4 linked regions of the Notamacropus eugenii genome follow. The main gene of each other region encodes a partner of the protein of the gene in region 3 in a complex. Links are inferred from orthologs where the notes say so. Each region holds a gene or a part of one and is shown on either strand. Other genes may lie near its edges. The genes, in order: ARHGDIA, RIPK2, NGFR and TRADD.

Evidence for each region.
Region 1: the proteins of NGFR (region 3) and ARHGDIA are in contact, whole or in part, in an NMR structure (PDB 8X8T), measured with the Homo sapiens proteins. The link is inferred for Notamacropus eugenii from reciprocal best matches to the Homo sapiens genes NGFR and ARHGDIA. Residues at the interface, in NP_002498.1 of Homo sapiens: Arg274, Trp275, Ser277, Cys278, Lys279, Gln280, Lys282, Gln283, Gly284, Ala285, Ser287, Arg288, Pro289, Val290, Asn291, Gln292, Thr293, Pro294, Pro295, Pro296, Glu299, Lys300, Leu301, Ile307, Ser308, Val309, Gln312, Ser313, Asp316, Gln317; in NP_001172006.1 of Homo sapiens: Ala8, Glu9, Leu11, Ala12, Gln13, Ile14, Ala15, Ala16, Glu17, Asn18, Glu19, Glu20, Asp21, Glu22, Val25, Pro30, Ala31, Gln32, Lys33, Ile35, Gln36, Glu37, Ile38, Gln39, Glu40, Leu41, Asp42, Lys43, Asp44, Asp45.
Region 2: the proteins of NGFR (region 3) and RIPK2 are in contact, whole or in part, in an NMR structure (PDB 2N83), measured with the Homo sapiens proteins. The link is inferred for Notamacropus eugenii from reciprocal best matches to the Homo sapiens genes NGFR and RIPK2. Residues at the interface, in NP_002498.1 of Homo sapiens: Gly334, Leu335, Ser338, Leu339, Pro340, Lys343, Val347, Ser354, Ala355, Asp357, Arg360, His361, Gly364, Glu365, Tyr368, Pro370, Ile373, Asp374, Leu398, Asp399, Leu401, Leu402, Arg406, Arg407, Ile408, Gln409, Arg410, Ala411, Asp412, Val414; in NP_003812.1 of Homo sapiens: Gln437, Ser465, Arg466, Asp467, Leu468, Met470, Glu472, Asp495, Ile496, Gln497, Gly498, Glu499, Glu500, Lys503, Ile523, Leu524, Val526, Ser527, Arg528, Ser529, Pro530, Ser531, Leu532, Asn533, Leu534, Gln536.
Region 4: the proteins of NGFR (region 3) and TRADD are in contact, whole or in part, in an NMR structure (PDB 7CSQ), measured with the Homo sapiens proteins. The link is inferred for Notamacropus eugenii from reciprocal best matches to the Homo sapiens genes NGFR and TRADD. Residues at the interface, in NP_002498.1 of Homo sapiens: Glu345, Glu346, Glu348, Lys349, Leu350, Asn352, Gly353, Ser354, Ala355, Glu379, Ala380, Cys381, Arg384, Glu420; in NP_001310481.1 of Homo sapiens: Thr201, Phe202, Asn211, Ala275, Glu276, Arg278, Arg279, Thr281, Gln283, Arg284, Glu287.

What each region holds. Positions count from the first base shown.
Region 1 is NC_092873.1:325,952,461-325,960,078, reverse strand, and holds the start of ARHGDIA (rho GDP-dissociation inhibitor 1), read left to right. Parts: upstream 1-4,605; 5' UTR 4,606-4,709; intron 4,710-5,188; exon of another isoform or gene 5,189-5,273; intron 5,274-7,618. UniProt on the Homo sapiens protein: Controls Rho proteins homeostasis. Regulates the GDP/GTP exchange reaction of the Rho proteins by inhibiting the dissociation of GDP from them, and the subsequent binding of GTP to them.
Region 2 is NC_092875.1:164,404,447-164,412,421, forward strand, and holds the start of RIPK2 (receptor-interacting serine/threonine-protein kinase 2), read right to left. Parts: upstream 3,014-7,975; 5' UTR 1,432-3,013; coding exon 1,253-1,431; intron 1-1,252.
Region 3 is NC_092873.1:351,342,408-351,350,254, reverse strand, and holds the start of NGFR (tumor necrosis factor receptor superfamily member 16), read left to right. Parts: upstream 1-4,833; 5' UTR 4,834-4,968; coding exon 4,969-5,010; intron 5,011-7,847. UniProt on the Homo sapiens protein: Low affinity receptor which can bind to NGF, BDNF, NTF3, and NTF4. Forms a heterodimeric receptor with SORCS2 that binds the precursor forms of NGF, BDNF and NTF3 with high affinity, and has much lower affinity for mature NGF and BDNF.
Region 4 is NC_092872.1:694,973,618-694,980,968, reverse strand, and holds the start of TRADD (tumor necrosis factor receptor type 1-associated DEATH domain protein), read left to right. Parts: upstream 1-4,344; 5' UTR 4,345-4,446; coding exon 4,447-4,734; intron 4,735-5,644; coding exon 5,645-5,773; intron 5,774-5,841; exon of another isoform or gene 5,842-6,070; intron 6,071-6,112; exon of another isoform or gene 6,113-6,246; intron 6,247-7,351. Other genes in the region: FBXL8 (F-box/LRR-repeat protein 8), read right to left, coding at 1,711-1,929, 3,658-3,668. UniProt on the Homo sapiens protein: Adapter molecule for TNFRSF1A/TNFR1 that specifically associates with the cytoplasmic domain of activated TNFRSF1A/TNFR1 mediating its interaction with FADD.

The sequences.
Region 1 (7,618 bases), about 25 Mb from region 3:
CTCTTAGAAAATTCTAACAGTTCTAAGTTATTACTGAATCTTGTTTTAAGTTTATTTCTATCAAAGGTGTGCTTGTGAAGGTTCTGTGTTTAGCATTCTCTTTATGTGTAGGAAATCAATACCAATCCCAAACCTGATTCATAAGGTACATTCGGTATTTTTCCTTTTGGGGAATTCCTAGACAGGAGGCTAAACCAAAATTTTAAATAATTCATCCCCAGGAGCATTAGGGTAAGGGTTTAATTATCCCAAAAATCTGAGAACAGGGAGTCTAGTCTTCCTCTCATTAGTCTGTCCAACTAACATTAACTGTCTATCATGTATCGAGCACTATGCTGAGCTAAGGATACAAATAAAGGCAAAACAACTAGTCCCTGCTCTCAAGGAGCTCACAGTTTAATGGAGGAGACAACATGTAAAAGATTTTGTACAAACTATATACAGGACACATTGGGGTGATCTCAGAATGAAAAGCTTAATGCAGAAGGTTTAACTTTAGCTGAGACTTGAGGGAAGCCAGGAAAGCTGGAAGTTAAGAGATGAGAAGGGAGAGGGTTCTAGCCAGTGAAAACCCTGAATCAGGATAGGGAGTGTCCTGTGAAAAGATCAATAAGGACATCAGTGTCACTCTATTGGAGAGTATTGGAGACTAAAGCGTAGGAAAACTGGAAAAGATAGGAGCCAGGTTATGAAGAGCTTTGAAAGCCAAACAAGATTTAATAGTTGATCCCAGAGGTAAGAGGGAGCCACTAGAGTTTATTAAAATTTTAGGGGGAGGAAAGTAGCCAGACATGCATTTTAGGAAGATCTATTTAATAGCTGAGTGGAAGACAGACTGGAGACAGGGAAACCAACCAAAGGCTACTGTAGAAATAGCCCATGTGTGATGTGATACAGGCTTGTACTAAGGTAGGTGCAAAGTTAGAGGAGAGAGAGGACCTATAGTTAAGATGTTATGAAGGTAGAAACAATAGTCAACATTTCTTAAGCATCTAGTATGTGCCATACATGTGCTAAGCTATGGGGGATACAAATATAGAAAAAGGCAACTCTTGCCCTCAAGGAGTTTCCCATCTAACAGGGGAAGACAACATACAAAAGAAAGCTGAAGGGGGTTTCAGAGAGGAGGTACCTGGCCCAGGGGCATGGTGAAAAGTCAAAGAAGACCAAAATGAATGCCATAGAATGGGAATGAAGAAATATCTGTGAGGTCTGACTTGTTCCTTTTCCTTAAATGGAGGAGTTTATACCTCCACCCTCCAATCAGAGGGGCAGAAGGTACTGATGAGGTATGAGTAGAAATGATTGAACTTAACTGTACTTGGGAAGACAGAAAGTGAGAAGCTGAGAATGACAGGTTGTATGCCTGGGAGAATGGTGGTCTTCTCAACAGGGAGTAAAGAAGTTTGGAAGATGGAGAAAGAAAATGGTGTGAAAGATAATGAGTTTGGTTTTGGACATGTTTTGTTTAAGATGTTTACTGGACACTCAGTTTGAGATGTCTAAAAGGCGAGTAAAGGTAAAAGCTGGAGTTCAGGGGAGAGGTTAGGACTGGACAAATAAGATCTGAAAGTCATCTGCATAGAGATGATAACTGAAATAATGGAAGTGAATGAGACTGATAAATGAAATAATATAGAGGGAGAAGAAGGGGGATAGCCATTGTTAGCAGGCATGACCTGGCTGAAGATCCAGCAAAAGAGACAAAGGAGTGGTCAGGCTTGTAGGAGAATCAGGAGAAAGCAATGTCAGAAAAACCAACAAATTAACAATATCAGAGGCTACAGAGAAGTAAAAAATGATGAAGACTGAGAAAAGGTGATTCGATTTGGCAATTAAGAGATCACTGGTAACTTTGGAGAAAGCAGTTTTGGTTGAATAATGAGTCAGAAGCCAGATTGCAGAAGGTTAAGGAAAGTGAGAGAAAAGGAAGTGGAGGCACTGGTTGTAGATTGCTTTTTCAAGTTTGGCCACAGAAATGAGGAGGGTTATATAGCTACCAAGGATGGACAGTACAAGTGGCGGGGTTTTTTTTAAGCTGGCAGAGACATGGGCATATTTATAGGTAATAGGGAAGTAGACAACAGACTGGGGGCAAATGAAGATTAATGAGAGGGGGCAATCTGCTGGAGAAGACTGGGTGGAATGGAATTAGCCCCAAAGGCAAGTGGGCTCAATTAGGAAAGATCCCTTGCTGCAGTTGAGATCATGCAACATAAACTTTTAGTGGACCTAGTTAGCAAAGTTTCTTGATTTTTCTCTGACTTCATTCAGTAATGCCTTTAGTAGGAACAAAGGCAGTGAGTGCTGGGAGTAATCCAAGGCTGGAATATGAGAAGACAAACTCCATAATCAGGGTTAATCAGCAAGGGACTGGAGAAGATAGGGTAAAGTTAAACTGGTTCCTAAGGAGGACTAGGTAGGGAAGGAAAGAGAGTATAAGTGCAAGGATGATGGTCAGGGAAAAAACTGAAGGTTTTGGAGGTCAAAATAAGAACAAAGAACAGAGCTTAGAATTGTAAGGCAGAGGGAGAGGTGGGATGAGAACACACTGATCAGATAAAGGGATTTCACAATTTATGAACATAGATATGAAACACTTGTGGATGATGACAAGATCAAAGGTATGACCATCTCTGTATGTAGCTCTGGTATAAACCTAACTATCCTCCCATTGACCTAGATCTGACTGTGTGTCTGGGTCAGGAGCAGAGGGACCCTTTAGTGGAGAAGAGTGAGGATAGTATCTGGTTCTTCAATGTCAGACTGGCATAAAAATAAAAGGAAACATTCAACTTTTTAAAAAAGTTCAATAAAATAATCACTGGTGAAATTGGAAGACAGATTGAAAGTCAAATTCTAGAACCACATTCATGTTTCAGAAGAATGCAAAGACAAAAATCTGAAAGATGACAGAAGAATAACACACAGACGCTAGTGTCTCTAGAATTTTAAGTAACATTCAACTTTTTGGTAGTCTTTAAATATGAATTAGAATTAAATTTAGCTTAAAAGTCACTGTCTACTCAGTTAATAAGCATTAAGCCCTTACTGGCAGACATTATGCTGTCCTAAATGCACCTGTCCTCTTATTATTAATATATTATAATTAATAATATTATTATTCTCTTATAGAGAAACCCTAGCGGGGTTATTTGGGTGCTTAAACACAGCGTGGAACATCTCCACAGCAAAGTGGAAGTCATCTGGTAAACTGTGGTATATAATATTTAGATGGGTTCCAGGGTGGGGAGGGGGACAGCCACAGCCAGGGCTCCTAGAAACCTGGCATCTTTAAGAACTCTGACATTTAGATTCACAGATCAAACATGATTTTAATGCACTTATATTCTAATTTACTACATATAGACAATGTACTTGTTTCAACTCCCCTACTATAACTGGAAGCTACTGTACCTTATTTCACCTTCATATCTTATCAAGTGCCTATCTAGTATGGAAATTTCGTCCACTCCATACAGGTAACTAGCATGTAACTTTTTGTCTTACAGTTGCCCGGTGGCACCGACAGGAGAAATCACTTTAGCCAGGACAGAACTTGAACCAAGGTGTTCCTAACTAGGCAGTTAGTTTTCTGTCCAGCATAAGAAGATGCCTCTGTATATAGCAGGGAGCTCATTAAATGTTCGCTAAATAAAATGATTCATCAGCTACTGACAGATAAGCTAGGTGATGAAATGGATAGGACCTTGGACACGGGAGTCCGGAGGACCAGAATGCAGTTCCAATCCTGCCCCAGACATTTACTAGTTGTTACTTTGTATAAATCACTTACACTCGCTCCGCCTGTTTCCTCACGTGTAAAATGGGGATGCTAAGAGCAGACCTCGCGGTACGTGAGCAGCAGATGTGATGATAAATGTGAAGTGCTCTGCAAGCTTCTGGGAGCTAGACGCTAGCTGTCATGGTCATTAAAGCGCTCTATAAGTATTACTAATAAAACGCTCTACAAATGCTATTATTATTATTATCATACAAGGCTAACTTAAGCGACTTTCCTCAACTGACGGAAAGGCGGGGGAGGGAAAGGGGAGGCTCCCGCGGGGGTGCCTGATTCGCAGACGCCTCCCCTGCCCTCCCCCCAACTGGAGGGCATCACATGCCTAGCTCGACTCTGGGGCATCCCCTGGTTTCCATGGAGACAGGGAAGGGAGTCTGGCCCTCCGGCCCAGCCGGATTCACCCCACGGGCTGTTCTCTGGGAACAGCACAGGCCTCAGGCCCGGCACCGGAAACCCTACCGGGCACGCACAGACACCCCCAAACCGGGGCCAACCGGGAATGCCTCAGAAGTCTCAGTCGCCGCCAACCTCGGCAAGATGGCCGGGCGCAGGCTACTCTCTTTCCTCCAGAGCATTTCTCTATGGTCCTGGCCCGCTTCAGCACCTTCCCTTCCCCCTCCCTCCCCGTGGGTGGGTGGGTGGGTGGGTGGAGGCTGAGGAAGGCCTCCTTCACCTCCTAGCGCCTCAGCCTACTGGGGGAAGGGACAAGTGGTGTGGGCGCTTGCGCAGACCCAGGCCGCCCGCCCGCCCGCTCGCTTGCTTGCTACCGCTTAGAGGCTGGCGAGCGGAAGTCGCGTGACCCCGGAAGCGACTGGAGGGGGCGCGCGGGCGGGGTGGAGCCGGCCCACTCGGTTCGTCGTTAGTGCGGGAGGGAGCGCGAGAGGCGGCGGACGCGTCGAACTCGTCGGTGAGTGAGTGACCGGGCTCCGGGGAGTCCACCCTTCATCCCGGAGCCGCTGCTGCTCTTCCGGACCTCCCCGGGAGGGCGGGACGAGGAAGGGAGAGCCGCCGCCACCGGCTGGAGGGGAGGGACGTCAGGGTGGAGCCGTCGCCGCGGCCGCTGCAGCCTCTGCTGCTGCCTTTGTTCTGCCGCCCCCAGCCTGGGCGCGACGTCTCCGCCCGGAGTCCGGGGTCTGGGGTGGAGGGCCTCGGGGAACTCTGTCCCCAGCCCCGCTGGGAGGCGGCGGCGGCGAAGGCTCTCTGCACCCAGGGACCAGGGGTATCCGCCCGGGCGGAGGCCGCGGGAGGGGCAGCGCAGCCGCCGGGAACGGGGGAGGTGACAGCTGCTCGGGGCTTCCTGCTGGCCCCCTGGCAAGGTGGGGGAGTACGGGAGGGGGAAGCTGCCCACCCATCCCCGCCCCTTCCTCAGCACATCCCTTCCGGCAGAGCCCCTTAGAGGGAAGAGGCTGAGATGAAGCCCAGGCAGGCAGAAAGAGCCAGGAGCTGGCCAGAGGCACAGATGGCGTCCAAGGTGAGCCGCGCCCACGTGGAGAGGAGAGGAGAGGAGAGGGGGCAGCCAGAGGCAGGGACAGGGAGGTCCAGGCTCGGAGGAGCAAGCCCCGGCTCCTGGCAGGCAGCAAGTGGGGCGAGGCGGCGTGCCGAGATTGACAGCCCTTGGAATGGAGGGAGCTCGAGGAGCCCGGGGGGTAAGCCAAAGAGGAAGTGACCCTGGAGGCCATGGAGACTTGGCCCTTGGGATCATGTTTAGAAATCAGTCTTTCCTTTCTGCGCCCCACATTTGGTCTTTTAAAAAAAATCCCCTTTTTTTCGGAGCCACCCACACTCTAACGGCATCCTAGTGAAACTGGCTGCACTATAGGGGGGAGGAAAAAAAAACCAGTAGATGTCAAAGAGCTCCTCCCATTCCTCTGAGCCCCTTGAGGGCAGGGGACTGCCTTTTCCCTCTCTTGGTATCCCCTGCGCTTAGCACCGTGCCATACCACTACTCTGGAGGGGGCCTTCACATGTTTATTGACTGATTGAAAAGAGCTTTGGCTCTCAGTTCCCTCATTTTTTTTAAAAGAGGTAGTTCGACTAGATCTGGGCTTTCTAAACCTTTTTTGTTTGTTTCATGAACCCCTTTGACAATCTGGTGAAACCTGCGGACCCCTTCCCAGAAGAAAGCTAAATTTCAGTTAGTGAAAATAAAAATGAATTTTTCTCCCCACTCAAATTCGTGCATTCCCCCCTCTCATCCCAGATTAAGGACCTTTGGATTAGATGGTTTCTTTGGTCCTTTTCTGCTTTAATACTTTATGAGTCTAAATACTGTCTGTGATTATATCTCCTGTTTCTAAGGAAATATACTACAGGTTGGATTCTTAATATTAAATAATTTCTGGACTGCTTGATTTCTTTTACCTTTGGTTCTAAATTTATGCCTCTAGGGATGTTGGGAACTGCTTAAAATTCATCCTGTTCCCATTCCTAAGCCTGTTTTCTGTGATTGCTTAATTTATCAATATTTAGGGAAATAGAGTTATGGGCTCTTATTCTGGGCCCTGAATCTCGGGGTTATTCTAGGAACTTCATTCTCTTCCCAAATTGTTCTCAGACTGAGGATGATGACCTAGGATCTAACCCTATTTGGGCTTCTGATTTTACATAAGAGCCACATCTCCTGTTACTTAGATGATTTCTGCAAATCCAAATGCAACATGAATGGATTGTGGTTTCATGGTGATGCTATTGAGGGATTGGGATGGAAGGGCAAGGAGAAATTTTAAATCAATAAGCATTTATTAAACAACTGTGAGGTGCCTCACATTGCTAGATACTGATGTTACAAAGACAAAAAAAGGAAACTTCTGCCTTTGAGGAGGAGCTTAAGGTTCAATCAGGGGAAACCAAATATGCACCTAAAAGTCTATATTGAATTACTTTATATAAGGTAAAGGTGGTATGAAAGGCCTCATGAGGGAGGGCTTGGAAGGGAGAGAGGCATTCTAAGAGGATCCACCACGCATGGAACAGCCTGTTCCAAAGCATTGAGGCAAGAATTGGAAAGTTGTATGTACAGGGAATAATAAATATCAAGTAGGTCAGTTTGACTTGGACCATAAATTGTTTGAAGGGAAGTAATATGTGATAAGTCTAGAAAGATGTGTTGAAGCCAGGTTGTAAAGGGCTTTAAATCTCCATACAAAAGAATGTTCAGTTTTATCCTAGTGGAAGTAGGGAGCCTCTGGACTTCTTGAAAAGGGTAGTGACAGGGGCAGGTTCTACTTTAAGAATATCCATTTAGCAGGTTTTTGGCTTCCTGGATGTAGAGCAGAGACTGGAGGCAAGGAGACCAATTAAGAGGCTATTCAGTTAATCAAGCAAGCATTTTGTAATTCCCTGTTATGTATCAGGCACTGTGGAATGCAAATAAAATAAATGAAATAATGCCTCTTCATAAGGTGGTTATGGTGTGGTGAACCCAGATACCTGATAGTTGAGGGATGGAAAACTTCGATGGAAATGGTGGTGCTTGAGCTGGGTCTCAAATAAAGAGGTTCTTTCAGTTGGAGGTAAGGAAGGATTGCATTCCAAGTATGAGGAACAGTCAGTGCAAACAAGGTATGCTGTACATGGGAGATGGAAGTGTCACTTATGAGGAACAGAGGAAAAAGGACAGTTTGGTTGGATCTCAGAGTTTGAGACAGGATATTATGTCTTACAAGGCTGAAAAGATATGATAGGGCCAGGTTGTGAAAAGCAGACAGAAAACCTTTAGTAATCCAGGCAAGAAATAGTGAAAGCTTGAACTACTCTGATGTACTGTTATGTGTAGAGAGAAGAGTATAGATGTGAGAGATGCCATAGAACTGGCGT
Region 2 (7,975 bases), on a different chromosome or scaffold from region 3:
GCTGCCTAAGAGGGCTACTGAAGCCTTAATAGCTGGCTACTTCCCATTTTTAGATGTTAATAGTTGAAGATAAGGTGGGAATGGGGGTTGGGGAGTGCAACAAGGGGAGGGGATCTTGACAGCCCTGAGAGGTAGAACCTGGCGGAGACTGAGCAATATTTTAAAAGAGGATTTAGAAAGAAAACACATACTACGTCTTTCACTAGGCTGTAGTTTAATATTACAAATCTACATACATTTGTAGCAGAAAGGTCCCTTAACCTTGAAGGTAAAACAAACAAATAAAAACCCTGAGTTTTCTGCCACCATCAGACCTTGGGCAAATCACTTAACTTCCCTGGATCCTCCTTTTTACTCTTGTAAAATTAAGAGGCTGACTTGCTTATGTCTCTTATAAGTTTAGGCTTCTATGATTCTGTGGGAGAAGAAAGTGTTTAGGTCATGAAAGTGAGACCACTGCAAAGTGACTGTAGGGTACAGTGAAGTTACAAAGGAAAGAACAGTGTACACACAGACTAGCATCTATGTCTAGAGTTGGCACAAACAGAATTGAAGGCTTGTGTTGCTAATATTTCTGGAACTGAAATCGAAAGGAGAGTTTCCTCAAACTTTAACCATTTCCCTTAAATCGACCAGTGGCCATTAGAGACAGTCTCCCACCAGTTACCACATACAATAAGAATGAGAGGTAGGTTCTCCAGCCTCCAGTGACTTCAATTCCAGAGTGGACTAGGAGGAATAACTCAAGTCTAATGTGCTATGGTATTTAAAATTTCTTAAAGTCAATCAACAAGAGGCACAACCATCAAAAACAAAACAAAAACCTTACTGTACCTTTACAATTATATATATTTTAAATGGCATATCCATAAAGGCCAAACACAAAACCAAAGCAAAGCAAAGGGAGGTGCATTTAGGGATGGCGTGGCAATGATGTGGGGTTTGGGATTTAGGAGACGGGCTGAAATCTGATTCTGGTCTAAGAAAAGGGACAAAAGAGCTGGATTTTCCCCACTCCCCTCTCCCACCTGCTTCTCCTGTAAATCACACGGCAGCCCGATTCAGGAGGAGGTGCCCGGCGGAGCAGGGAGGCGCTCACCTGCATAGGAGAGCATGTGCGCGCGCGCCTGTTACCTGACCACATCCACGAGCCACAGAGGGTATAGGGAAGGATCGGAGTGGTGGGAGTGCACCTTTAGGTGGCGGAGACCTGTGGCCCCCGAGGAAGGGCCGCGATGGTGAGGGTCATTACCTTTCCTGCAATGGGGACTGGAAATGCAGTTGCTTCACTGCCACCTGGACGCGCCAGTCGGAGTGGCGAGCCGAGTACACGGTGCCTGATGCCCCCCGGCTCAGGAAGTGCAGATCGGCGAGCTTGTAGTAAGGGATGGTGGGCAAGGAGCTGGAGATGGCTAGGCTGTCCCCGTTCATCCTCCTAGCCAGACCGGGAGGAGACAGCCCCAACTCTTCCAGCGAAAGTCCGGTGTTTCTGGAGGGACGGTTCCGCTTTGGCAGCGCTACTACGCTCCCACCTCCCGCTGCGGGAGCGCGGGCATTGGTGCTTCTCCCCTCCCCCCGGAGGGCAGCGGTCTGAGACTGGCTCCCTCCCCTTTAGCACCCTGAGAAAGTAAAGTCCCTTTTCCCCGACTCCGCTAACCCTCCCCGGCTGCAATCCAAACAGCCTCTGCAGTGCTTCGAGCCGCCCACAGCCCCGAAGGTGCTCCCCAGAAAGCGAGGGCAAAGTCCCGCCGAAGCTGCTCCGGTCTCAATGGGTGCTGCTTCTCTCCACCCGAGACCTACTCCCCCAGCCTTGGAGGAAACTGAAGAATTCTCCCGAACTCTGTGTGGGTCCGGCTCCGGCTGCTCCTCCCTTCCCAAGCTTGCCAGGCTACGTCAGCAGCTTAAAAGCGTCTCCAGCCTTGGATCCTGGCACTGGCCGCTCAGCGCACACTCCTCTTCCTTCCCCTCCCGGCTCCTCCCGCGCCGGGATCACCCGATTCAGTCCCTCACCCCCTGTGCCTCCGAGATCTCAGGCTCCGTGCCAGCCCTCTCAGCGTAAGAAGCCAGCCTCCAGGTCTCCACCCTGGGAAGACGCCTCCTCCTCTGAAAGGACTGTGGGGATGCTGCGCACGTTGTATGGGCTGTGGGGGAAAAGTTTCGCTCTAGAGTTTTAAAGAAGCGAGGCGATCGATCAGGAAACTCCTCTTTTGTTTTTTTTGTTTTTTCCTTCTACTCTCCCTTGGCTTCAGGAAAAGCCACACTTTCTTTTTGGGAAAACCCCTAAGTGTGCCCGGCCGGTTCTTTTCCGCTTGGTCAGCGGGATCTTCCATTCTCATTCCAGACTGCACGTACAACTCGGAAATTGCCAAACTGGAGAGCCAAGTCTGAGGTGGGGGAATTGGTGGGGCGGCTAGGGGAGAAAGTGCCAGCTGAACTGGATGGAAGACCTTGGTGAGAAACACTGGAAAACGTTGTTTTTGGAAGGGTTTATAAAATAATAAATTCTGACCTTTTTGGAGGGCGCCACGTGTTGGAGAATAATAAAGTCCCAGTCCCAGAAATCAGGTATTGCTTGTCCTACACTGTCTTTCCCATTGCTCCATCGATATAGGAGCTGCAGGGAAAGAAACCTATCATAATATATTATAAAGACATTTTACTCTTTTAATTCTTCCCCTCGAATCTTTTCTTCCTTCTCTTCATCTTTATTCCCCTATCAGCATATAAAAGTAGGATAAATGGAAAAGAAGGAAGGAAGGAAGACATTTCTCTGAATTTGCTCAGGGCTCCAGCTTTTGTAGGTGTCTAGATTTAGAACTGGAAAGGATTTCTGAGGTTGTATAATCCAACTTCACTTGGAGGTGAGGAAACTGAGTCCCAGAGAGTTAAAGTGACTTATCCAAGGTCACAGAGTGTCAATAAATGTCAGGGATTTGAATTCTGGTCTTTTGGCTTTGAAAAAATTGGGTACCTGAATCATTACACCAGGCAACCTCCCTTTGAGGGAAAAAAAAAAAATCTGACCAGTTAATTTTTTTTTTTTTTTTACAGAAAAGATGGACTAAATTTCTCATTGTTTTGTTTTTTTTCTCATTTGCCCACATTCCTTTGATGAGGATTTTGTAACTTTGTCTCTTTAGAAGGAAACTCAGATCTCAAATCTTGTATTTCTATCAAACCAAGCTTTGGCAATGAGTTACTTGTCCCTCTTTTATGGAAGGAATTGGGGTAGTTAGGGAGAAGAGAGAGGCTTTATGTGAGATTTCCAGTTTTGCTGATGGGGAAACCATAGTCCAGAGAAGTAAAATGACATGCACAAAATCGTCAGGTGCTATTGAGCCCACTGTGGGATGAATGTGGCAGCAACAGCAGAGGTAATCATCTAAACAATAGACTTGTAGATGTGGAATATCTGTCTGCTGTAGGCATCCTCATATTACTACTGTTACTTGAAGGTTGAGTAGCCATTATTGGTTTCATCAAGTATAAAATTATAACAAAAATCTTAAACTTCTCTTCTACTTTAAAATGTTTTCCTTTAGAGCAGCCGTGCCAAACTCAAAAAAGAGAGGATCATATATTGACTTAGAAAAAGGCAAATTAACATTACCTGTGTTGGATTGTATTTTTTTTTTTTAATTTTGTAAAACATTTCTCAATTGCATTTTGATTTGCTTAAATGGGCATTCAGCTAGGCCTCTTGTGGCCTATAGACTTCCAGTCTGATAGCTTTGCTTTAGAGAAATAGTTTGATAGATGGTGCTTTATCACACACTTGATATCCCACTGCTGATGGTGATCTAAAAGAATTCTACTTATGACCCCAGCCTGTAATTTAATTTTCCTAGATCACCATGTACTCCTCGAGTAGGTAGGATTTATGGAAATGAGCTGTAATTGGACTTCTAAACCTTTTCAGGTCTACCCAAATTCATCTTTATTTTTGCAAAACTCTAAACAATAGCCTATTTATTTGAAATATTTAAGAGAAGGCCCCTAAAGGAAAATCTAAGGTGCCTCACTTTACACCAGATCCAGGACACAGCCTTCATCTTACAGAATTAATATCTCCATGTCCTACAAAGGCAGACAGGCTTGGAGGGGGACACAGGGTGGCATGTGGCCAGGGAGCCTCTATGCACAGAAAGCTTATAGACCACAGGAATAGAGAAATCCAGGATGGTCTTCTTGAGCTCTTAGGAACATGCTTCAGACTACCTTGAAGTTCAGACATCTAATTAATTAGCTCCAGTACTTTGGCCATGTCAACAAGTCTAGCATCAAGCATTTGTTCATCTTGTTATGTTCTAGGCACTGTGCTAAGTCCTGGGGATACAAAGAATGAAAGAAAGAAATATAGTTCTTGCCTTCAACGAGCCTAAATTCTAATTGGTCATGATGTCGCTCAGTGTTTACTGTATTATTTTTGAAATCTTAAGGGTAGAGGCAGAATGTGATGGTCTAGTCCTTAATGGCCTCAGGAAGGATAGAGACCTTGAAGTTAAGAAGATTTGGATTTAAATCTTGTCTCTGACACATATCTGTTATGTAACTATAGACAAGTAACTTAAACTAACCTTTGATGCCCCGGGAAATTCTCAAAGATTAAAATATATACATGATTTGTATTTACAGATGGATTTTGCATGCTGAGAGTTCTCTACATTGATGAACTCATGAGTTAAGACAAAAACAAAGACAAAATATTTGTATATTGTGTTCTGCTGATTGCTGAAGGATTTGACTACTAATCATCTAATATGCTGCTAAAATTCTCACTGTAGATCTAATAAAATTTAATATAGAATCTCAGAGTTTGAAGGAATTTCACCAAACATCTAGTCCAGTCCAAACCTTTAAAAGAATGCCTCCTACGTTTTGCCCAATAAATGGCTACTCAGCTTTTGTCTAAGAACTACCTGTGAGGAGAAAATCCATTACTTTTCAAGTCAATCTGTTTCACTTTTAAAATTAAAAAAAAAATGAGAGCTAACATTTATATAGGAGTTACTATGTGCCAGGCACCTTAGTAAGTGCTTTGCAATTTTTGTCTTATTTAATCCTCACAACAACTCTGGGAGGTAGGTGTTATTATTATCCCCATTTTACAGATGAGGAAACTGAGGTAAACAGAGGTGAAGTGACTTTCCTGGGGTCACACAGGTCATAAGTATCTGAGGTCAGATTTGAACATGAATCATCCAGATTTCCCACCTGGAGCTCTATCTACTTCTCCATTAATCTTTTAAATTGATCCAATAGTAAGGAAGTTTCTTCTTGAAGTCATGCCTTAATTTGCCTCTTTGAAAATTCCAACCCTTACTACTAGTTCTGCTCTTTGTGATCAAATAAAACACATTGAATTCCTTTTCTACGTGAAAGTCTTTTTTCTTTTTTATTAAATTTTATTTTTTCAATGAACAAAAATCTATTTCCTTTCTACCCTGTATCACTGAAAAATAATTTTTAAAAAATCTTTCTTGATAACCTTTCAAGTTCTTGACACCTGTCATGACCCTCCTGCGTCTTTTCTTCTCTAAATTAAACATCTCAGGTCTCTCAACTGATTTTCATATGTCAGAAAATTAAAGCCCTTTACCATACTGGTTTCCTCTTTTGAATATTCTTAATTTATCCATATTCTTCTTAAAATGTGCCCCCAAATGATCACAATACTCCCAATATGGTCTTACCAGATCAGAGTTCTACCTCCTTGGGCTAGAAGTAATGCCTCTTTTAATGTTATCTAATTTTGTGTTAGTGTTCTTAGCTTTCATTTAGCTTGACTCATATTATTCTTGTAGAAAAGACGGCAAGATAATGAGATAGACAACAGTATAATTCTATGGATTTATAGCTGGTTAAATGGCCTGTCATTAAAGGTTTATTGTTAATTTGGAAGGAAGTCTCCTGTGGAGTACCAAGGGATCTGAGCTTAGCTTTGTACTGTTTAACATTTTTTGTCATTAACTCAGATTAACTATAGATGACATGCTTATTGAATTTACACATATCATAGAACTGGAAAGAATTCTTAACACAATGAATAACAGAGAAAGAATCTAAAAAGATCTTAGAAGGCTAGAATTTGGGGTCAAATTTCACAAAATGAAATTTACTAGAAATAAAGTATTGCACTAGAATTAAAAAAATCAAATTCACAAATATAAGATTGTGAAAGCATATTTAGGAAGTAGTTTGAAGAAGGAAAAAAGGCAGAAGGGGCCATAAACAGGAGTTTTGCTATCTTATTAAATTATATATTATATGTATACTTGTGTATATCTTAAAAAGAAACTGAACTAACAGAAGTTTGGTTTCTCATATAGATCTGTTTGCTCTCTGTTAAAATATCTGTGTTGTGGAGGTTTTGGTGGACCATAGACTAAATATCAGTAATAATGTAATGTGACAGCTAGAAAATCTAGTATGATCTTGGACTGCATTAAGAGCAATATAGTTTCTAAGAATAATAAGGAGGTGTATGGTCATGCTGTACTTTGCTCAGGTCAGACCATGTCAGGGGAAGAGCAGGCAGCATACTGTAGCTAGAGGCATGTCCTGGGGAGCGTGGAAGTCTGTGATTCTGGGACAGAACTTTTCTGTCTACTATCTTTGGAAACGGTGATGAAATGAGAGAAGAGAAAAGAATATTGGATAGAGCTTTGTGGTGTACTTACAGTTGGAGGCTGTGTTGTGGCTAATATCCAATAAAGGATACTGAGAAGGAGCAGTCAGTTAGGAAGAGAAGCAAGAAATTGTCCTGAAAACCTGGAGAGGAGAGCTAGCCAGGTGACGGTCAACAGTATCAAATGCTGCAGAGATGTCAAGGAGAATGAGGATTGAGCATGCTTCCTGTTTGATAACATTAGACAGGACAAGAGCCCTACAGTAAGCTACTCCAGGCCATTATGCTGGTTCATATTCCACTGGTCCCTTCAATTCAGCCAATATTTATTGAGTACCTGAAATTAAACTAAATAATTTTTCCTTTAAGAAGTCAGGCTATAACCTGTATTAATCTCTCTTTAAAATTATGCATGGTTTTGTGCCAATAAAAATTAGGGATGTAGAGCTCAAATCAGTATGAAACCTGTGCTTCACATGACAAGTTCTCTGTAGCAACATCTATGCAAGTTCCAACTTGGAGGGGAGCGTAAAATTGTGGCTCATATTATGTGGGTCAAAAGTGTGTCTGATATGATTGGGGAAGGTGTGTCCTCTAGAAAGTCTGGAGGATTTGTTGTGGTGAATCACGATAGGGTGCTGAATAATGACAGCAGATGATGCATAATGCTTATTGGGATAATAGGACATGAATAACCACACTGTTTTTCCTGCAATGGATTATGTAATATTGTATAGCAACATAGATGTAGTCATATTGTTAACAAAATGCCATGTAGAGATTGAGGTAGGTCATTCAAGATAGAGCCGTTGATTCCTTATCATAATTAAACACCCTAAAGAAATGGAGATGATTTATATGGTGTAAATATTTCTAAAGGCATTCTTTCTGTAAAGGGATTCTCCCTCTCTCTCTCTCTCTCTCTCTCTCTCTCTCTCTCTCTCTCTCTCTCTCTCTCTCTCTCTCTCTCTCTCTCCATCCATCCATCCATCCCTACATCCATCCCTCCAAGAGAATGAGAGACAGACAGACATAGTCCAGGAGGTCTGGAGGAGGGAACATCTCTTCACCTCCTCCTCTGCCTTCCTTTCACCCCTCCCTTCCATAACCCCCATTAATCATATCACTTTGAAGTGGTTCTATACACACTAGACATGCAGATAGAGAGAGGTAGTTATTCTAAGAAGGAAGCATCTTTAAGGAGGAAAGGGACTTCTGGCTGCAGAAAGGGAAGCCATCTCTATATCCAAGAGAGAGCTAGCCCTGGCATTTGAGAATTGAGCTGAAGAGCAGACCCTTAGAACGCACCTGAGGTAACATGGAGAGAACTATAGCTGTAACTGTCGC
Region 3 (7,847 bases):
TCCTAATTGTTTTCTCTGACTCAAGACTCTATGAACTCCATTTCTTGGTGTCTTCTCCATTGCGCCCTCCTTTTTTTGGTGTTAGTACAATATGGTCTCTCTAATCATTCAGTTTCTTTCTTCCTCATATCTTGAAAACTAACCCCCTAGTGCTTTAAAAATTGTGTCCCCTGACGTATATTTCTTCTGTATGAATATGATCTGGCCCAGATGTTCTTCCCATCATCATTAGTGACATTTCTACTTCCTTGTGGAATAGAGCCAATTAGTAACATATTCTACTTAATAGACTTTGGAGGCTAGAGAAGCAGCATTGTCCAATGCCCCCATTTTATGAATGAGGAAAGTGAGGTCCACTGAGACAAAGTTACACATCTAGTAAATGACAGTGTCAATCCAAATTCAGTGGTTCATTTGCCATCAATACTAAACAATATTTGTTAGAGAGATGCTGGCAAATATATTCCATATTTGAGGGGAGATAGAATCTATGGCCAGGGTACAGGAAGTGAACAGAATATAAACCAGACACAATGAGTCTGGGAGTGGTTGGAAGGAAAGAACTGATCTGTAATGGGATTGGAAGAGTCTGGGAAGGCTGCCTGGAGAAGGAAAGAGAAGAATCTGAGCTAGGTCTAGAAATGATGAAACTATGAAAATATTAAAACCAGATCTCCCTTTTCTATTATAAATAACATGCTACCTCTGGGTAAATCTATCTGTATCATTGAATATTTCCCTATACCTTAATTTCTACTTTGATGCTTTAGATGTGACTCTGGTCTCACAAAGCTGTGTTAGTGGACCATAAACTGATGGCAACTTTAAAAGGCTGGTATAAAACCAATGACAGAATGTGCCTGCTATCAATGGACCTAAGGAAATATGGAGACTCTCATCACCAAAAGCTGGTTTCCATGGAATGTAATTTTTTTGTATGAGCCAGTCTTGAAATCATTTCCTAAGGTGTGGATAAGTTGTGATCTGTATCAGTGGAGGAGGATCCCACACTCATGAAATCATAGATCCTTAAAGTATTGAACTATGCTACTTGAACAAAAATTTAGGGATCCTACCTCTGCTGTTAGACCGGGAGCTCCCGAAATAAATAGGTAACAAAATATATAAAGGGTCAATACAAATGAATTTGGTTTAGATCTGATCACAAGACTGGTGGTGCTAAAATCTAGCTTGTCATCTTGACTCTGTCACTAGTTATATGACTTTGTATTCCTGGGCCTCAGTTTCCTCATTCATAAAATTAGGACCTTGGATTAGATGATGCCTAAGATCCCTTTCCAGTTCTCAAAGTCTATGAGTAATTTCCACTACAAGAGAATTCCACCAGTATGGATTATAGTCCCTTGATAATTTATAGTATTAGTTGCCCAAGATTCTTAGAGCTTAAGTGATTTGCCCACAGTCACACAGATAATAATTCTCAAAGGCAGAATTTGAACTCTCATCTTCTTTATTCTTAGTCCAGCACTCTATTTACTGTGGCAAGCTGTCTTTCCCATATAATACTCCTAATAATAATATCTATAAAAATTATGTTACTGCTTAAATGAGCACTGTTATCCAAACTATTAATAATAATAAAATAATAATAAAAATTACCTCCTATTGTTATTAACAATAAACAATCTTTCAGTAGAACACATTAAGGTTATATTCAATTACACATGACTCTCTCCATGACTCCACTGGAAATACCTTTGAGGAATGGAGGTTTGCTAGACTGCCTCTAACTACTTGTGTGACCTTAGGTCCTTGAATTCCCTTTTCTTATCATGGGAAAACTTCCCCAGGCAGAATGGGCCAAGGAGAACAATTTGTTCCAACGACCATGAAGAGGACTGAAGGAGGCACTGCGGAGCACTTAAGAGCTTGGTCAGACATTGAAGACTCCAAGGTTATCCATTGCATCTTGGGGTCAGAAACATCTTGACTTTTGTCTTGCAACTCAACTTTGGTGACTGGAAAAGAGTGAGGATGATGATTTTGTGCAACTCTGCTTCACTTAAATCCAATTCACTTGCAAGTCAAGACATCACCCCATGATGTCCTTTTTGAAAACAAAGAATGGGACAACAACATCACAGGCCCTCATCTGTAAAATTAAGATGTTGGACCAGATGACCTCCAAGGTCCCTTCAAGCTTTAAATCCATGATTCTGTGCTCTTATGAACAGCAGTAATATGTGTTATGATGTCATATTATATTGTGTTATTAATTAGTATGCATTATTTCTTTCCATGAAGTCTGCACTCAACCTACACTCACCTACTTGCTATTTCACACAGAGGACACTTCATCTCCCAGCTCCATGCCTTTGCATCTGCTGTACCCCATTTCTGGAATGTAATTCTTCCTCACCTCCACCTCTTGGAATCCCTGGTCACCTTCAAGATTTAGCTCAAACGCCACTTTCTACATGAAACCTTTCCTAACTCTGCCCCTAGTTGCTATGACCCTCTCTCTCCATATCATCTTGTATTCATTTTGTTTCTTTTCTATAAATACTTATATATGTTCATGATCTCTTCCCCTTTAGCAGGTAAGCTCCTTGAAAGCAGGAATTCTTTCACTCTTGTTTTTGTATCCCCAGTGCTGAATAAACTTCCTGACACTCAGTAGGCATTTAATAAATACTTGTTGATTGTGAAAATCAGTATTAAAATTAATGTTATACTGTCAATATGGTTGATGACACTGTTGATATTAGCTATTGGGTCAGTATGAATGTCGTACTCTCACACTACTGCTAGATGGCATAGTGGATAGAGTGTGGGCCCTGGAGTCAGAGTTCAAATCCAACATCAGACACTTACTAGTTGTGTGACCTTGGGCAAGTCACTTAACCCTGTTTGCCTCAGTTTCCTTATCTTAAAATGAACTGGAGAAGGAAAAGGCAAGCCATTCCAGTATTCCCAAATGGTGTTACAAAGTCAGACATGACTAAACAACAACATTCCCTATCCTTCATAACTTCCCATATACTTCATCCACTGACAGGAACAACATACCCATAAGAGTAACACAAGGGGGAACAGCTGCATCTGTTAGAAATAAGAAAGAAGGAGTAGAATTTTCCTTCCCTTTTTTAAACCCATGAAGGGCTTCCTTAAGAAGGTTTATCTATTCTATCCTCCAACCTTTGGCTCAGAGAATCAAGCCCATTAATAAGTGGAATATTTTTGGGGGGGAACAACGATAAACAGAAAAAGTTTAATCCTCCCATCAATAAATTTGGTGCTTGGAAAAGCCAGTGAAACTAATTCTTGTTTCCACTGATCTTTCCCCAGGGATTCTGAGTTCCTTTCATCATGTGACGATGTGCTTGGAATCAGAAAAATGGATTCAAACTCTGCTTCTGACACAAGTTGTGTGACCATAGGCAGGTTGCTTAACCTAAGTCTCAGTTTTACTCATTCAAAAAGTGGGAATAATTATACCCATAGTACCTACCTCAAGCAAAGGGTGGGTAAGATTGCTAATGTCATTTTGTGTAGGCAGAAATTGAAATGAAAGCATGTGAGGGGGATAAGAAGAGGGGGGGTAATTCTCCCCTTTAAGAAGGCAAGACTAGTCCCACAAGTAATAAACTAGCACAGTAACAAGTGTCAAAAGCACAAAGGAACCAAGACTTCTTGTCCTTTGAAACCCCAACTGAAAAGGGAATGTGAGTCCTATTAGCTGTGCAACAACTGGCAAGTTGTTTTGCCTCTCTGGATCTCAGCTTCCTCCTCTGTAAAATGGTCAGACTAGGTCCCATGCTGCTCTTAGATTCTAGCTTCTGTGAGTCACTGGTGAAGAGCTGGTCCTCATGTTGTCCTACTGGTTCCCTAGCTTGGCCCCACCTTTATCACAAGGGCTTAAAAAGGCTGGAAAGGGCAAGAGGAGAGGAGCCTCAATACCTGTTAATGTCCTAGGGCCAGATTGGTGTAGCTCAGGGGTGTAAATGCCTACTTGGTGATTCCTGGTTCTCACCTGTGTGTCACTGAATGTGTATAGTTTGAGGGAGGGACAAAGGCAATGTCTGATCGCTAGACTTCTGGAACCGACCCAGCTGTGAGCAAAGACAGAATTCAGTCAATCATTGGGATCCACTCCATCCCTATATCCATTCTTCTCCCTCAGAATTCAGATGACCGACTACATCCTGGAAGGGAGACTGAGGAAGGGAGGGCAAGAGATTTCCACTTGCCTTCTTCCAGAAAGGCCTTTGCATAGAGAGAGAACGGAGCTTTTGCCTGGGCCAGGAGGTAGATAAGTGACTGCCCAGGAGGTGGGGAGGAAGAGACCTCGAGTGGCGGGAGAAGGGGGGACGACTCTAATCATAGGTGGGGAGAGAGCAACAACAACAAAAATAAACAGAAAAGAGGTGAAAAACATCAGGTTGAGGACAGGCAGAGAGGAAAGGGCAGGGAGGGACTGTAGAGAAGTAGATACTGAGATACGAAACAAGGGGAGAGAATAGAGGATTGGCAGAGCGACAAGGAGACAGAACTGAAGCCAAGGGATGCAGGGTAGGAGAGAGATAGAGAGGCCCTGAAAACACAGCACAGGTTGGTGACGGGGAAAGAGGAAGCTCGGGACAGGGGATGGGTTGTAAAGGGCTGGGGTGGGAGTGGGAGGTGGGGAGAGTGATGGAGGAGCAGCTCGGCTTTATGGCCGGGTCTCCCCTGCACCCTCCCCTCCCCACTCCAGGCAGCGGGACTGAGGGGTGGCGGGGCGGGGCAGTCACTGTTCCGGACGGGTGGGCGGTATGGGCGGGGAGGGGGCGGGGCCGTAGCCCTGGCTCTCCCGAGTACCTCCTGCCAGCAGTCAGAGGGAGCGGAGCCTCGGCTGGCTCCTGGCGAGTGCAGAAGCAGGACCAGAAGGACTGAGCTAAGGAAGCTGGGTGGGGGAGGGAGGGAGGTGCCACCAGGCACCCAAGGGTGGTCTTGTCCACCTACCCAGCCATGGAAGGGTCGTTCCGCTTGCTGCTGCTGTTGCTCTTGGGGGTGAGTTCAAATGGGAGGTGTCCTCTCTTCGGACGCACTGGGGCTGGAAGGGCGAGCAGAGCCCGCGGATACTAGAGGGGAGGACGCTAGGAGGGAGAACTTGAATTCCAGGGCCACTGTGCGCTGGAATAGTGTGGGAGAGACTCGGACCGACGCCTCGGTCTTTCCGAGGAACCTTGGAAGAACATTGATGCCTGAAGGGACTGGGATGCCTGTCTCTTAGAGAAGCGCGTGTTTGGAGGAAGGGGGCAACTCAGATGCCTGGGTTCTCCGGAAGCGGAGGGAGGTGTTGAGGTTCAGCTAGTCAAGAAGGGGACTCGGGCGCTTTGGTCCCTGGAGTGGGGTCATGAAGGGAGAGAGATAGGAGAGGTGCTCCGACTCTTCGGTCCCTGGAAGGAGTAGGTTGGCTAAGGTAGAGGGTATTCCGACGCCTGGATCACCTAGAGGAGCTTCGGTTGGACCAACGAAGCAAGGGAGCGGTGGAGAAGGGGATGGGGTGGGTGGGGTAACTGAGCATCGGGACAGACGGAATGGGGGAGCAGGCTCCAGCGATAAGCTTCAGTAGAGGCAGTGGGGAACGGGAATTGGGGGCTGAGGGCAGGCAGAAGGTATCGAGGGTGGGACATCCGACAATAGGGACAGGGCAGGACAATGAGGGGAGGGGAGGGGGATGCGCTAATGAACGAAACCGGATGCCTACAGAGAAGGGGCGTTGGAGGCGCAGATAAGCAAGAAGGGGGTTCATGAAAAGAGTGATGGAGCAGGGGAGGGCAAGGAGGAAAGGAAAGCCGAAAAGTGGGGGCAGAGAACAGAGAAGGGGGCTGAAGGAGCAATGAAATGGGTAGGACCAGAAGGCTGAAGGTGAGATCAGAAACTAAGAGCATGGGAGCTAGTCAGGACAATTTTCCTCTATGACATACCTAGCTCGGAGATTGCAGATGGAGAGGGGATTGGGGCCCGAGTTCTCCGTTCTCTTAGGGCATCACCGGTCACTCTTCTCGAAATCCTTCCAACTCTCTTCTCCCACTCCCATTTGGCGTGAGCTTCCCAGAGCCCTTCCTGGTGGTGGGCTAGGGGGTAACGTCCACAAGCTGGTTTTAAGCAGAAAGAGAGGCAAAGAAAGGGGATTCCTTGACCTGTTGTCCGGGTGCCCAGTAAAGGACAGAGAAACTGAATTGTCCCACGCACCAAATAAGGTGGGTTCCCTGGGGGGATACAAGCTAAATCTGGCTCCCGGGGTTTAATGAATAAAGTGCCGAACCCGGGAGGTCGGTGGCCAAGAGAGGGCGCTCAGGGGAGAGTGAAAATGGGGCAACCCCAGCCGCTGCAGTCCATTCTCGTTTCATCCCATCCCATTCATTCCCTAAAAAATTAGTCCTGCTCTGCTCGGTGTAGCCAGTCTACAAATCCTACAACTTTGTCCCGCACACTTCTGTTCCACGCTATCTGAACTAGCTCCGCCTTCCCCTAACGGGCTCCGCTGCCTGCTGCGGGAAAGATTTAACAGTCTCAGGAGTCTACTCTGCTCCTAATCTTGGGAGTTGGTGGGGGCGGAGGGAAAGCTTGGCATTCTACCGGGCAAAGCCCTGGTCCCTGGGGGATAGAAAAGAAGCCGGGAGAGAAACAGAAGAGAGAGAAGACCAACTGGGCTGACGACTGGATTTCTGGGTCCGAGGCGTCCTCTCTAAGAGTAGAGAAATCGGACCTAGGGATGTCTGGCTTCTGAAAAGCTAGCCAGGGACTGGGGATGGGGTGGGATGTCAGGATCTTCTGGATCCCTCTCTTGCTGAGTCATGGGGAGAGCTGTCTGAGGTGAAGGTCAGCGTGTCCCCCACAAAGGGGCCCCAGTCCAGCAATTATTGGAACTATGGAGCGGGACAGTCAGATTAGTCTGTATTCCTAGGTGCCCACTCTGAATCAGGCTCTGATAGCTCTAAATCAGGCACAGGGGCTGAGAGAAAGGCAGGTGAGGATTTCTTCTCAGACTCTACAAGAAAGCACCTTCAATTGGCCTGGTCCCCGAAACTACACTCGCAGGGTTACCTTCTTGCAAAATTGACCCTATGGGGTGGGTGTGGCCAAATCACGAAAGGCTTTGAATGCCTGAGACCACACTTTCCCTGGGGCCTCCCAAAGCACTTTGTTTTGTATGGCTCAGATGGCATTGATCTTGAGGCTGAAGTGCTGGAAGGGGGGAGCGGGAGTGAATCGTCTGAGGGAGGTGGTGGTAAGTGTCATCGGGGTGACTGAGGAATACCCCCCCCCCCCCCCCCCCCCCCGAGAATGGCCAGATCTGACCTAGGTGTGGGGCTGAGGTAGGATCAGGGCTGAACTACCACCAGGCACTCCCAATGACCACTCCTTCTTCGGCTATCTAGCTGTAGGCTTTAACCAGAAATGGAGTTCTTAAGCTTTTTGGGTGTGTTGTGAATGCTTTTCACAATCTGGTGAAGCCCATGGACCCCTTCTTAGAATCACCTTCTTAAAAAACTGAAGGAAATGCAAAATTTTTATTTGGAGGTTTTTTTTTCTCATTCAGGTCATGGTTTCCCTCCCCCAAATCTATCCCTAGGGGGTCCATCGGCTTCAGGTTAAGAACCTCTAGTTTAGAAGATTAACTTATCTTGTGAACAGAGGTTGAGAAAAATTGGGCCTATTTATCTCTCCTCTCTCTGGGGTTTATCTGGGCGTCTCTGGATGACAGATGTCTGGGGGAACTGGGTGGGCAGAGAAGAGTCCAGGAGAAGAATTTTTTGCTATAAAAGACCAATTATTTCCCAGATTTCTGAGACTAGAGGGGAGATATGAATCAGAAGCTAAAGGTCATGTCAGATAGG
Region 4 (7,351 bases), on a different chromosome or scaffold from region 3:
AACAATGACCAATTCTTATTGCAGAGGACTGATAAGGAAGCATGCTACTCATTTTTTGGCAGAAGGTGACTGACTCAGGATGCAAAATAAAGAATACATTTCCTGACATGACCAATGAAGGAATGTGTTTTGCTTGACTACAAATATCTGTTACCAGGGTTTTGGTTTGCTTTTTTCTCCTTTTTCCATTGAGGGTGGAGTGAGAGGCTGAGGGGAGATAAGGATAGGAGGAGTAAAGAGAAAGAAAAGAAGGAAAGAAGGAAGGAAAATCCTAGTCTTGAGGCAACTTTTTTTTTAAATGAAAAGAAGAAAACAGAAGGAAGAGAAAGAAGGCCAAAGAAGCAGAACAGATTTTAAAAAACTAAAAAAGCTTGAACTTATTATATACATAAAAGAAGACCTGCACAATCTCCTTTTTCTGATTTACCATGCATACGCAAATGCCCATTCAATTTAGAATTTGTTAAGTTCAGAATAAATTTTTTAAAAAAATGTTAATTCAATGCTATTAACTGTTTGCCTGATTGGCTCTGAGCTCTTTCATATTTAGCTACATTTCAACAGCATGCAAACTCCTTGAAAGATAGAGACTCCTTCCTTCCTTCTTTTCTTACTTCCTTTCCCCTTCCTCCTTTTTCCTCCCTCCTTCCCCCTTTTTCCTCCCTTCTTCCCTTTCTTTTTTCCTTTCATTCTTTTCTTTCGAAGACTTGGCACATGGTAGGCATTTAATAACTACCTGTTGAATTGAAGCCAAGTGAATTAGCTAGGTTAGGCCTTGGACAACCAAAAAGCCACTGGGTAGGTGCCTGAAGCCGTTGCAGATTGGTTGGACCTGTTACTGTATGCTCCTTATCTACTGGCATAGTTTCCAGAATGTGAGGTTCGAGGACCAACAACTCCATGTAGCCAAATCAGTAAACCTCCCTGCAGGCCCCTTCCTTCCTACTTGGAGGCAGGACATAGGAGATGAGGAACCTTCTCTCCATCTCTGGTGTCTGAGCCTCCATGAGGCAGGGCTTTAGGGCAATGTCTGCGTTATTACAGTTTGCTGAATATTTACAATGTTATAAAACTTTTCAGTAGACCCTAGGGAACCGACTCACTTCCTCAGGGGTAAGAGTGGAAGCTGGCAGCTGTGTAAGCATGAGTCTATTAGCCAAGATCACTGGGAAGTGGGTGGAACTGATAACCTGGGCCAGCCACGCTCTCTCACATGTAATCATTAATGGGGAACAGTCACTCATTTGGAGTCAGTTATTCTAATTCTGCTGATAGTACTTACTGAAAGCTAAAGTGCCAGAACTGATCCTTTGCTATCAGTTTGAATTTTGCTCTATGGCTAAGGTGTCCTGGGACCTCAGTTAAATTAAATAATAATAATAGTAAATAACATTACTAGCATTTCTATAACTCTTTAGGGTTTGTAAAGCACTTTACAAATATTTCATTTAATCCTCATATCAACCCTATAAGGCAGGTGGTATTATTATTATTATACCCTTTTATAGATGATGAAACAGAGGCTAAAGTAAGGTTAAGGGACTTGTCCAGAGCCACACAGTAGCACAGGTCCAAGGCCAGATTCGAACTTCGATCTTCCTGATGGCAGGTTCAGTGCTTTCTCCACTGTGCCTGCCACCCAGGTACTTTTGGAGTTTAGAACTCTTGAAAGGAAGGGGCTCCTACTGTAGGTCCCTAAGGCTTCCTCACCTGATATCTGTGATGTACCACACAGAGCTTGAGTTGACAGCAGTGGCCCAAGCCTGGCAGACCTGGGAAACCGCATATCGGTCACGAAGGGGTAAGTATCGAAAGATCAATGAAAGCAATTCTTCAGGGAGGTATTTCCATGATTCAGCCATTGGGAAGGTGGTTGAGCTCCAAAGGATCCCTGTCTGCTGATCCTTCTGCAGAGTGACTGGAGCTGGTCTGAGGATAGAGACCAGGGCATGACTCAAAGGGAAAGAACCACCCACTCAGTGAACTCTCCCCCTGCTCCTACTCAATGCCTTGCATGGCTGGGGAAACTACCTTAGGGTGGGGGTTTCCATGAGAACATCAGCTTGGATCCCTACAAACAGACCTAGGTTTGGCCTAGTATCCTCAGGGACTTGTGTGATAACGTTCTTTAAAACCTCATTGTAGATTCCTTTAATTTTCAGCATATGCCTTCTCACAGGGCAATACATTCCACATGCTTACCCCTCTCAGTGTTAATATGGTCAATCTGTCTTTTGTTTTAAGATTATATTTATCCAGCAAACGTAAAAAATAAGACAGACTGGAAAGCAGCAGTTCTTAATCAGAGGTCCATAAATTTGATTTAAAAATTTTATAAACATTTCAATATAACTGGCTTCCTTTATAATTCTAAATATTTTATTTTATGCATTTAAAAACATTCTAAAGAGACTATAGGCTTCCACAGACTGCCCAAGGGTTGGATCATTACACAGAAAAAGTTAAGAACCTCTGGGACTTCTAAAATTCCTCCCAGCTATAATATTCTATGTACTGTGGTCTAACATTATAAGCTCTTTTCTATCTCTAACATTCTAGGTCCCTCCCCCCCCCCCTCAAATCTTCCCCACTTCCAAACCTCCCTATTACCATGGAGAGTACCATCCTTCTGTTCTCACTGTCCTTCAGGCTCACAACATACCAGTAGTTCTGGATTCTTCACTTCCTCTCACCCTCACCTTCTCTCATCTCATATCTAACTGTTGATTTCACTTTTGCAGCATTTCACAAACACACCCTTTGTCTCCTCTAACAGTAGCATGACTCTAATGAAGGTTCTCATCCCTTCATGCCTGGATTATTCCAATAGATCTGCCTGCCCTAAGTCTCTCTCTTATTCCTGTTCTTCCATTCCTAAAGCATAAGTCTGACCATGTCACACTCCGACTCAATAACTCCAGTGACTAGCACCACCAGAATAAAATACAAAAATCTGTTTAGCCTAGTTCCTTCTCCCCACCCTACCTTTCCAGCCTTTCTTACATTTTACACCCCTCTCCTACCTCCACATAATCTGTGATCCAGCCACACTGGTTTCCTAGCTGTTCCTCCAACCAGACACTCCGTCTTCTGATTTTTGACATTTTTTTTTTTTTGTCTCCCAGGTCTGGAGTGCTCTACCTCTTCATCTCTTCCTCCCAGCTTCCCTGGCTTTCTTCAGATCTCACCTTCTGTAGCAAACCTTTCTCAATCCCTCTTAATTCTAGTAATTAATTATTTCCCGTTTATCCTGTACACAGCTTGTTTGAATATATTTGCTTGTGATCTCCTGTATTGGATAAACACCTTGAGGGACTGTCTTTCTTTTTATCTCCAGTCCCCAGTACATAGTAGGTGCTTAATAAATGCTTATTGACTGGTCTCACATTCACTTAGCTCTGCCATTCACACTATGCCAAATTGTGTTCAATGCCCTTATTTTGGGGGCGGGGGGAGCTTAGAGAATAAAGTCGAATCCCTCTCCGATGCCTCCCCTCATCTTCCATTTCCATGCACACTGCCTATCATCAGGACAGTACTGAGTCTTTCCAAAGTAATGGCCCAGAAGGATGACTGCTTCCCTTCTTTCAGGTCATCCCTCCTGCAAGACACCTTTCCCCATCCCCCTTAACGCTGGTGCCTTTCTACCGAAATTACCTCCCATTCATCCCGCCTGTAGCTGGAGTGTACGTAGCTGTTTGAACTTTGTCTCCTCCGTTAGAATGTGCGCTCTTTGAAGGCAGGAATTTAGGGCAGTACCTAACACACACAGGATGCTTAATAAAAGCTTGTGAATTTGACTTCTCTTCCCTCACTCCGCCCTCCTCCGCCCCTTCCCCCGATACGCTCGATTGTTACAAAGATCACAATCAACTTTCTTCCTTCTGGCCCGGAATAAATTGTCTCTCGGCCTCGGAATCCAGGACACAGCCACAACCTGGGCCTGAGCGTCGCCGCCCTTTGGGCGGGTCCGTCACTTACTAACCGGACCGAGAGACTGGACCGTACCCGAGGCCGTGGCCTTCCGGCTTTTCCTTCAGCTCTGTGGGCCTTCTCAGGACTATATTTTGCCTGGAACTTCGAGAAGGGCGAACACTTGGCCCTACGCTGGAGAGCGGACCATTTCGAGGCCGGGGGCTCCTGGCCGGGCTCTGCGGAGCTCAGCAGCCCAGGGCCCGAACTCGGGGTGGGGCTTTGGGGACTTTTTCTCTGCCTCCACCTTCGCCCCAACGCCGACTCCCTTGCTCCCAGAGCCCCTGTAGAATCCAAGGAAGCCGGAGCTCACTCTCACGGCTACGGGATGACCCTGACAAGGTCTGCCAACGTTACCCCTTGAGTCTAGCTGCCATTTGGGATAACAGAGCCTCTTTTCCACTGACACCCACCAGCTTGGGGCAGTGAAGGAGTTAAATGGGTAGGGTTCTTGAGCCCCAAGTAGAGACGTGAATGGTTCATTCAAATCAGCTGGGGACCAGTAGCCAATCACCAGCCTGGGCGGGGCCGAACTCTGATAAAGCTGCGGAATGGAGGCTGGTCCTTCTACTCTGGGTGCCCTGGACATCAATCAGGTGTCTGCAGCCCTCTGTACCTCTCAGCTGTTCGCCTCTGAACCTACAAGCCATCAACCCTGTGGATTCCCTCTTTTGGGGGCAGGGGCCTCTATCAGTTGTTTCCGTTTCTGGGAGGAGAGCCAGGTCCTCCTTCACCTGTCGTTCTCCCAGTCCTATAGCCCAGGTTAGTGGTGGAGGTTAAAGTGTCCTAGAACAGATTGGCAGGTTGTAAGCTGGGTGAGGCCGGGCTCGGTGGCGGAGGAGACAGCCGGTCCTGGAAAGTCCCTCTCCTTCCACCCCCAGGTCTGGGAGTTTGAGGTAGTGGAAACCTTGGACTCAGTGTCAGAGAACCTGGTTCGAAATCCTGTCTCTGACACTGATTGTGTGTCTGTGGGCAAGTCACATCGCCACGTTTCCTCAGTTGTGGTGGTAATGATATTTGCGCGACCAATTCCAGTGCTTTTTCAGTTTTAAAGCTCTAGGGAAATGGAGACTGCCCCGGCTGCCACCAACCACCTCTCGAGATTTTCCTAACCGGCTCTGCCCTATACTATCATGGGTCCCCACGTCTTCTTTTCAAAGTTCAAAGTATGAGGCATAGGGTGGGGTGAGGTGAGGTTTTCGGAGGCCGGTTCTGTTTGAGCTATCCCAGGAAGTCTAGCCCACAGAAGCCAGGGACCTCTAAGTCTCCGTCACTCCCAAAAGGCAAATTGAACATGAATCCCCATCCTGTGGATCCCCTTTTCCTTCCCCCACGCCCGTAGGTAGGGGTCCTAATAGAAGACAAATAATAAACCACAGTTGTCCGGCTTTCCTCACAACAATCTTCATGGGCTAGCCAGAGTTAAGTGACATAGGGGATAGTGATTGGAGTCAGAAAGACCCGAGTTCAAATCCTGTCACAAATACGAACTAGCAGTGTGACCTTGGGCAAATTACTTAACCCGTCTCAGCCTCAGTTTCCGCATCCGTAAAATGGGAATAATAATAGCGCCTATTTCACAGAGCTGTTGAGTTCAAACGAGATAATACGTAAAGCCTTTTCTAAACCTGAAAACGTAATATAAATGGTAGCTATTACCCTTCTTTTGCAGAAGAGGAAAAAGACGGAGAGGGAAAGTGATTATCTAGGTGGCAGAGGTCGAGACTCCAACCGACACCTTCTGATTCCAAGCCCTGGGCTTTTCCCAGCACTTCACATGCCTCAACCTTCCTCAGACCCCGTGAGTATCACTCATACCTCCCAGTTGAGAAGTTCTTGCCAGCTAACCGCGATCAGGAGGTTTCTTACCTGCCCCAGTGCGCGGACCTCGGATCTCCAGCTGAAAGGGTTACTGGGATTCCTGAATTTCCAGGGCCAGCTAGACTGACTCAGGGATGGCTGACTCACAGGAGTTTAGGCTGGTCCATAGGCTTGGATCGGGCTGGGTCAGAGGAAGGACCGAGGCCCTTAGGCCTTTATACCCATCCACTACGTAGCTCCGGTGTTTACGCTTCTTAACTGCCCTGGCTGCTCGCCAGGGGCGGCCCACACGGCGAAGCTCGGGGGATCCCGGGACTGGGAGCCAGCTCTGCTCCTCCCCTTTTCCTTCCTCCTCCCCGCTCCCCCTCCCCTGGGGCTCTGCGCAAACCCGGAAGAACGGGTGGACAGAACCGGTGTCTGCGAGAGCCGGAGCAGCGGGGACCGGACGGCTTGGTTAGTGTCCGCGGGGAGCTTAGATGGGGAGAAGGCACGGCACGAGTTGGGGAGGGGTGGGATGGCCAGGGGCCAGTGGACCGAGGGCACTAGGGCGCAGGTCTGGGTTCCTCCTACCAGGTTTGGCCTGGTTAGAGCAGCCAGGCATAAGCGGGGTCCTGGGCTGGAGTGGGTATGGAGGGATGTGTGCATCGGTTCCGGGAGGGAATCGGACTAAGAGATCTAGCGGATTCAGACCAGCTCTCTAGGCCTCCAGCTGGCTAGCCTGGGCTGTCCCGGGCCAGGGCCCGGCCCCACGTGGGAGATGTTCCGAGCCTCAGGAGTCTCTGCTCGGAGTACGGTTTCGTGGGACAGCTCGAATTTCTGAGGCACTTATAAAGTTTGCAAAGAGCATATCTCAGGACAACTTTGAGTGCAAGTGTTCATTTCCCTTCCTTGCACATGGGGAAAGTGAGGCCCTGGGAAGTTAAGGGTTTTAAGAGTGGGTTTTACACTTGGTAAAAATCGAGCCCTACTCACAATTTCCAAGCCTAGCTCTTGCCAAGCACTAGGCCAAGCTGAAAATCTGAAGGTCGGAAATGAGCTGGGTCCGGCTCAGCCCCGCCCCACTCCCATCCTTCCCCCTTTGGATTTAGGGACTAGGGCCCATCCCCCACCCTCCCTTCCTACTTCTCGAACTCAGCAGCTCTGCCTGTCCAGTCCCTGAACGGTGGGTGTAAAAAAAGTCTGGAAGATAGACCTCTTAGTTAGGGGCAGAGGGAAGAAACCTTGGGCACAAGCCCAGGAGGGGACTGGAGACCACTAGCATGGATGGGGGGAGGGGGAATTAAGTTGGCTGGCATAGAGCCAAGGCACAGGAGAAGAAAGGAAGGAAGGAGATGTCTTAACCAACATTGAAGGGCTTACTGTATGCCGTGTACTGGGCTGGGACAAGGTCAATAAAACGTAACAGAATCACAGAATTTCAGAGTAGAGAGGGACCTTGGGGGTCAACTTGAGAATTGAGAATTCTTTCTACAGTGTCCCTAACAAGACATCATCTGGTTTTCATTTGAAGCTGTCTAAAGGGAAACTCACTCCCCATGCCACTTTAGAAAGATTTTAA